Linked DNA regions of Callithrix jacchus. The main gene of each other region encodes a partner of the protein of the gene in region 2 in a complex. Links are inferred from orthologs where the notes say so. Each region holds a gene or a part of one and is shown on either strand. Other genes may lie near its edges.

The links.
Region 1: the proteins of VEGFC (region 2) and KDR are in contact, whole or in part, in a crystal structure (PDB 2X1W), measured with the Homo sapiens proteins. The link is inferred for Callithrix jacchus from reciprocal best matches to the Homo sapiens genes VEGFC and KDR. Residues at the interface, in NP_005420.1 of Homo sapiens: Thr148, Asn149, Phe151, Lys153, Phe186, Ile188, Val190, Pro191, Leu192, Gln194, Pro196; in NP_002244.1 of Homo sapiens: Val135, Tyr137, Ile215, Val216, Val217, Val218, Asn253, Val254, Gly255, Ile256, Asp257, Phe258, Asn274, Arg275, Asp276, Phe288, Leu289, Ser310, Ser311, Gly312.

What each region holds. Positions count from the first base shown.
Region 1 is NC_133504.1:141,635,171-141,638,822, reverse strand, and holds part of KDR (vascular endothelial growth factor receptor 2), read right to left. Parts: intron 2,915-3,652; coding exon 2,718-2,914; intron 1-2,717. UniProt on the Homo sapiens protein: Tyrosine-protein kinase that acts as a cell-surface receptor for VEGFA, VEGFC and VEGFD. Plays an essential role in the regulation of angiogenesis, vascular development, vascular permeability, and embryonic hematopoiesis.
Region 2 is NC_133504.1:14,624,628-14,628,279, reverse strand, and holds part of VEGFC (vascular endothelial growth factor C), read right to left. Parts: intron 1,368-3,652; coding exon 1,261-1,367; intron 966-1,260; coding exon 632-965; intron 1-631. UniProt on the Homo sapiens protein: Growth factor active in angiogenesis, and endothelial cell growth, stimulating their proliferation and migration and also has effects on the permeability of blood vessels.

The DNA.
Region 1 (3,652 bases), about 130 Mb from region 2:
ATGGATCCTAAAGGATCTTTAGATTAACAGGAAACAACTAACAATTTTGAATTCAGTGATTCGAGATAATCTTTTACATTAGCATTTTAAGATTCTGGACACCAGGGATATGATTCTTTCTAAAAATCATGTTTAATAGTGATTGCATTTCGTTTAACATTTAGGAGTCATTGATATCTTCAATGACAAACATCTGAAAAGCTACCATTCCAAAGACTGAGAAGAAAACTGAAGAGATTCTGGCCAGGTGCAGGGGCTCACACCTGTAATCCCAACACTTTGGGAGGCTGAAGGGGGCAGATCACTTGAGGTCAGGTGTTTGAGACGAGCCTGGTCAACATGGCAAAACCCCATCTCTACTAAAAATACCAAAAAAAACTAGCCGGGCATGGTGGCACGTGCTTATCATCTCAGCTATTTTGGAGGCAGAGGCAGGAGATCAGTTGAACCTGGGAGGCCAAGGCTGCAGTAGGCTGAAATAGTGCCACTGCTCTTCAGCCTGAGCAACAAGAGCAAAACTCCATCTCGAAAAAAAAAAAGATTTTGAGGCCATTCAAACATTACTCATCCAATGTTAACACACTGCTGGAAAACTTGTCCATTTCCCAGAGATAGAGACGATGTGGTGTGGAGTCATGCTTGAAGTCTCAGAGAGATAGCATTTCACATTGCTATGCCCAACACATCTGATCAAGCATTTTCAGAGTGCTTCATAACAGTGAGTCAAAGAGAAGAAAGAGTTAATTAAACCACGGGGGGACAAAGGCAGCTAATTCCCTGCAACAGCAGAAGTTTGATTTCCTTCCCAGCTGGATAGCACAGAAAAGCAGCCAATCTAGCCCACCACATGCCATAGCCATTATCTTATAAGGCCAGGGCTGACTTCCTGGCTCCATCCATTGCTGAAGAGAATGGGGTCAGAAGACTAGGGAAGTAAGGTGGGGATCGGAGGGGACATTAAACACCTATCCATAGAGAATACTTTAGTGTTTCCTTTCCCATTGTTTAACTTCATGGCCAAAATCTTGGACAGCCCAACTCCTAGAACTTTAGGCTTAGACAGGAAGCAGAATTTAATGGTATACCGAAAGACAGGCAGCGTACCAGTAAACAGTGCTAAGGATTGCTACTTCTTAGTATTGCCTACCTTTCATCCAGATGTTATGAAGTGTTACATAACTTGCTTACAGAACAAGCCTTTGGAAATTAAATTAACCCTTTGACGTAACACTAAACCTGTTTAGTAAATCAATTCTATTTCAGTATCTCAAAAGAAGGAAATAAACAAAAGAAACCCAAACAACCACCCATCCTCTCAAAATAAAATATTTACTGAAATTCATGAAATGAATTTTCACATGTCTCCAAGTTTCCTGACTTAGGGAGAAGTAAATAATGAGATATTATGGGGGAGGTTCATCTTGTAGTATTTCCAGACAGGCTAAAAGCAGGAAATCCTCGCCCTCGTCTGACAGAGCTGCATCTCCCAAGACTGCCAGATCAAAAGGAGTCAGAAATTCTCCAAGATCTGAGCCTTGTCTCTTTCAAATCCTGCAGAGGGGAGGAGGAGGGCACAGCATTCTATCTTGGACAGTGCTTACTCTGGCAAAAATAATTCTCAAATATCATGAATCTAGTGGCATAAGTTATTTTGACGTGGTCTCCACTTTTTTATTGCACTAACCATATTAGACACTACTGAGATGTAAGCAGATATATGCCAGTGTGTTTCCCAAAGCTGATGAAATTCTTGCCCTGTAAAAGCTGCTTCTGGGAAAAAGGTCTAGGTCATCTTCACCTGTCTCAAATACTCTGGGATGTAAAGAGGCATATACATGAATACATAAAGTGTCTGTTTATCTTCACTGAAAAGAAAAACGTTTGGTACATCCAAGCAAACTATGATGCAACCCTTACATTCCTCAAATTTATATCATAGAAATCTCATTATTTAAGTCAGGTTTTCACAGAAAAAAATAAGATAGTGTAAGATTTTTGAAACACAAAGAATGCATAGCTCATGATAAATATTGAATATGTGTGACATTTATTTTATACTATATGGTTGTTAAATCAGCCTCCATGGTATCAATCCCAAGTTGCAAATCCTAGAAAAATATGGTATATCATCCAAGATCTCAGACTAAACAAGCAAAGGAAAGAAACATTGTCCTCGAAAGACTCTTTGAAGCAATGTCTTTATTTGCACATGAGTATGGGAATTGTTTTTTATGAAGTATTAGTAAGAAAAAAAAAGTTCCTATGTGCAAAAAAACTCCAGAGCTCTTGGCAAAAATGCTTTCCTATGAATTCTTGGGAAAATCTTTTCTTCTGCTATAGATAACTTGTCTCTCCACAGAAATCTCTTCATAATTCACCCCCAAATCTTCCTCAATTTCAAGAATTTTAGGTTGTCTTCTCAAACATAAGAAGACTTTTATAAGTCTCAGTGGCCAATAGTGAACACGAATTTACCCTGGAAACAAAGATCAATCCCAAACGAATTGGGCAGAAGAGCGGTAACACAGCCCGAGCTCTAGAATCAATCAATGAGTCTTATTTCTCAGAGGAAGCCTCAAGAGAGAAGAATTTTCTGTATTCCACTTGACAAACAGCCTTTAGAGCAAGCTCTTTCTTGTACTCAATTCTTCTTTGAGGCTATTGTCTTTTATAACTGGTAAAGAGACGTGGGAAATGAATTTTATTTCACCACTTACCTTGAACATAGACATAAATGACCGAGGCCAAGCCAGTTTCCCGGTAGAAGCACTTGTAGGCTCCAGTGTCATTTCCGATCACTTTTGGAATTGTGAGTATCTTACAGAAGAGGCCATCACTGCATTCAGTCACCTCCACCCTTTCCTCGGTGCTGCTCTGATTATTGGGCCAAAGCCAGTCCAAGTCCCTCTGTCCCCTGAAAAATTAATTTCAGGGAGGTATTAAAGTGAAGTGCCTGACTATGAGGCTATTTCTAAGAAAAGAGAAACTTTAGTTCTCAAACTTAAGTAAACTCTTACCAGACATAGTCAAAGTCTTCTACCGGCCAGGCATGGTGGCTCAGGCCTGTAATCCCAGCACTTTGGGAGGCCAAGGCAAGTGGATCACCTGAGGCCAAGAGCTCAAGACCAGCCTGGCTGACATGGTGAAACCCCATCTCTACTATAAATACAAAAATGAGCTGAGCATGGTGGCACATGGCTGTATTACCAGCTACTCAGGAGGCTGAGGCATGAGAACTGCTAGAACCAGGGAGGTGAACATTGCAGTGAACCAAAATCATGCCACTGCACTCCAGCCTGGGCAACAGGGCAACATCATCTCAAAAAACAAAAAAAAGTCTTCTACCAACAACAAGTTGGATCGACATATGATGGAAAGTTACAAACTCAGAGGTCACTTACAGAGATTCCTGAGTTTTCTATTAATTAATACATTCTTTCATTCAACAAATATTTATTAACCATCTACTACACGCCAAACTTGTTAAGGACTGGAGAAAGAGCAGTGAACAAATCAGACAAACATCAATGTCTTTGTGGAACCTCAGTCTAACTGGAGAAAACAGGCAATTAAAGAATAAGTAAAACTGATTGTATGAAAGATGGTGTTTAGTGCTATGGAGAAAAATATAGAAGATGCAAAGAAAAGGGTA
Region 2 (3,652 bases):
TGCACAGGTCTGACTTACACAGTAGGATCACCTTATTCTCTGGGATTAAAGAGGAAGTGGTTCAGGGATTAACACTAAATGTGTTTGAGTCCAATGACTTCATTTTTTTTTTCTTGGTGAAGAAGAGAGCAAAAGCAAGTTTAAGAAATGAGTTTTGAGTACCTTTAACAACATATTCATATATTTCTTTAATTCTATCAAATACTTACATATTTTCATTTCCAGACAGAATTCTATCTACAGTCAATGGTACTATCCTATCCTTTGTAAGTTTTACATAAAAATTGTCTGCATTTAGAAAAGTTGTCCTAAATTATGGCTGAAGGCAGCATCACACTTTTTGGATCGCCTGTATGTCTTTTGAGAAGATCCCCCAGGGTCCACTAATTTAGAGTATATTCTGAGCTTGGATCTAGTTTTGATCCTCAAGCCTCCTGTCTTGCTTTTTTGGAAGCAAATCCAGTCTCATGAAGGTTTAGCACTGCTTAAAAAATTAATAATAATATTTTGTCTTGCAGAACTTACTGGGCTCATTCTAACAAGCAATTGTTACTGTAATTAAGAAAACTGCCATTGGTTTAGAACATATTTCTAGTAAGAGCAATTCATCCCCTTTCTGAGGATCTCTTACCTGCATGTTTGGTGTTGAAACTTCTTTCCTTTTAACAAGCATTTCTGTGGACTTTCTGTACATTCACAGGCACATTTTCCAGGATTTAGGGGTTGATTTCTGGGGCAGGTTCTTTTACATATACACTGGCATGTGTTTTCATCAAATTCTCGGTTGGCCCCACATTGGCTGGGGAAGAGTTTGTTTTTACAGACACACTGGCATGAGTTTCTGTCTAGTTCTTTGTGGGGACCGCAGCTGGCAGGCCGAAGCCCCCCTTTGCAGACACATTGGCAGGTCTCTTCATCCAGCTCCTTGTTTGGTCCACAGATGTCCTGGAATCCATCTGCTGAGTCTAGACAAACACAGTCAGAGCGTCTTTACTATACCTTACTTGGTTCTAGGTGTGGTGTAAAACAATTAAAAGCTTTTAGAAGCATCTTCCTTTGTATGTCTGCCATCAAATTGTTGTGCACAAACATGGGTATATTCCTTTATAAAGGAGTTCAAAGTAATACCAATGTCAAGTAGAAAATGTAGTATTTTTAAGTCACTTATTTGAAAGAATGAATATTGTACATTAATATTAGAATATGTTAATCACAATATAGACCCTTGGCATTTAGTCGTTAAAACATCATTCTTCTTACCATCTCCAGCATTTGGGGAAAACATAAAATCTTGCTGAGCCAGGCATCTGCAGATGTGATTATTCCACATGTAATTGGTGGGGCAAGTCTTGTTTGCTGCCTGACACCTTTGGAAGAAATAGACAGGGTTAAGCAATGGTATAACTGGTACTTAGAAGGAACCATATCTGCTCACATATGTATCACAATACATGCTTATAAAAAAGCTTTAAAAAGATAAGAATTATGAAATAAAATGTGAGTATTTTCTCCCGAACTCTCTACCCACAACTGCTATCAAATTGCCACCCCAGAAGTGATCACTGTTTGTGATATCATCATATAGGACACTATACCTTTATCTTTTTAAGGCAAACACATTGACTTGTATAATCATGTAGGGTTTTAGTTTGTAAAATAAATAAGGTCAAACCTTTTATTTTACTTTGAAATTTCTTTTTTCCATTATGCAATATATTTTTACATGTCATTGAATAGAGTTCTACTCCATTATTTTTAGTGGCTAGGTAATATTACATACAAAAGATGTACCATTATTTATTTAATCAATCTCTTAGGTAATTACCTACATCACTTCCAATTTTGGATTTTTGAGCAATGCTGGAGGAAACATCCGTGTAAATGTATCAAATGTATCTTTACTGACTTATTTCCGAAGCACAGATTCCCACGCTGTAGTCTCCAGTAATGCAAAATTTCCACTCTGGACTCCACCAGAAAGTTATCAAAGATATTTTGCTTTGATCTTGTTGTTCTAGCTCTTTACCTCCTTCCTTCTCTCCCTCCCTCCTTTCTTCCTTCTCTTCTCCTCCTTTCCATTTTATTCCCCTTCCTTCCTTCCTTCCTTCCTTCCTTCCTTCCTTCCTTCCTTCCTTCCTTCCTTCCTTCCTTCCTTCCTTCCTTCCTTGTTTTAGTAAAAATTATAAAGCTAAGGCCTCAAGCAAGTACATCAACTGCTCCTTTGATGGTCCAATGGCCCCACTGTTGCTACCTGAGACCCCTCTCTGTTGGTGCCCAAGTGAGATGAGCCCTCTCTAGGGTGAACATATGTCATAAGCTCAGTTTCCTCATTTTCTCTTCCACATCTGTAATCAGCCATTTACTCAGCAGCCTTAAGTCTCTTTGTTGGAAAATGGCATTTTGGAGGCTCTCATTTGAGATCAGAAGCATTCACTGCCATCGGATCACATTACTACTAGATCTTTTCAGGGGGCAGACCCAGAAAAATGCATGTACATCCTGTAGAATGTTTCACGAGTTAATGTTTACCCAGTAGAAGGATTTTTGGTTTTGAGTATCTTAATTTACAGAGTATATATCAACCTCTCACTGCTTCATTTTTCAACTAATGTTGGTGTGTAGACATCAAATGGAAGTATTTACTTACATCTTTCATGCTCAGTACAATATTGTAAACAATTTTCTGTGCTGGAAGAATGCTGAGTTAAATTTCAAACTAATAGAACATAGTAAAATCCTATGTAGCCATCTTAACATGTGCATTGAGTGTAAATAAACAGGCCACTTGCTAAGAAAGTCTTGCAGTCACACTCAGTGTGACAATAAATCTTTCTTTCAATAATAGCCCGATAACTCTTACAGCACCACATGAAAAAATTTTTCAACAGGAAAATAAGCAAATCTGCATTTTACAACCATGCCTTCCTTCAGCTGAAACACCATTTCTGAAGATTTAGCAGCGCTTTCCCGTCTGGCAATCTCAACAGCACCTCCTAGACACAAAGAAGGTGTCTTCGTTCCTCTTAATATAACAGTTTGTCTAAGATTGCCCCGTTGTCCTTCATCCACCCATTGCCTTCTGCAAATAGCAATGACTGATTTGACCCTTCTTTCTTTCCCCCTTCTTGACTTTCTTTAAGAATCATGTCTTCTTTAGTGTGGAAGAAACCTATTATGGGTCTTTTATTTAATTTGGACTTTCAGCTTTCTGATTGCTATGTGTTATTTGCTATAACATACCATAAAGTAACAATTTCTCATACAGCATACACAAAGTCCATGTAACTACATGCAAAAGCAACTGTATGTAGTAACAGCAATAATTGTTGGATGATTAGGAAACAATACACATTTTGGATTTTATCAAGATAGTTTGACACTTTTCTACAGGCATTATTAGGTATACATTATTTTGTGGGAAATAGCTATGTTTTGGGTTTACCTTCCATTCACTATAATTGTTCCCATTTAGAACAACAAAAATGTGCTAATAAATATCTATTTGTGAGAATAGATTACTGATCTTAAGCAAGAGATTCTTGTGTATATTTTTAGAAAAAAATTTTCATATTGTTACCTCCAAATCCAATCAACATTACTGGATTTTAATGTAGTACCTGGACTTCATACTAATAACTTCCACTAAAATCTT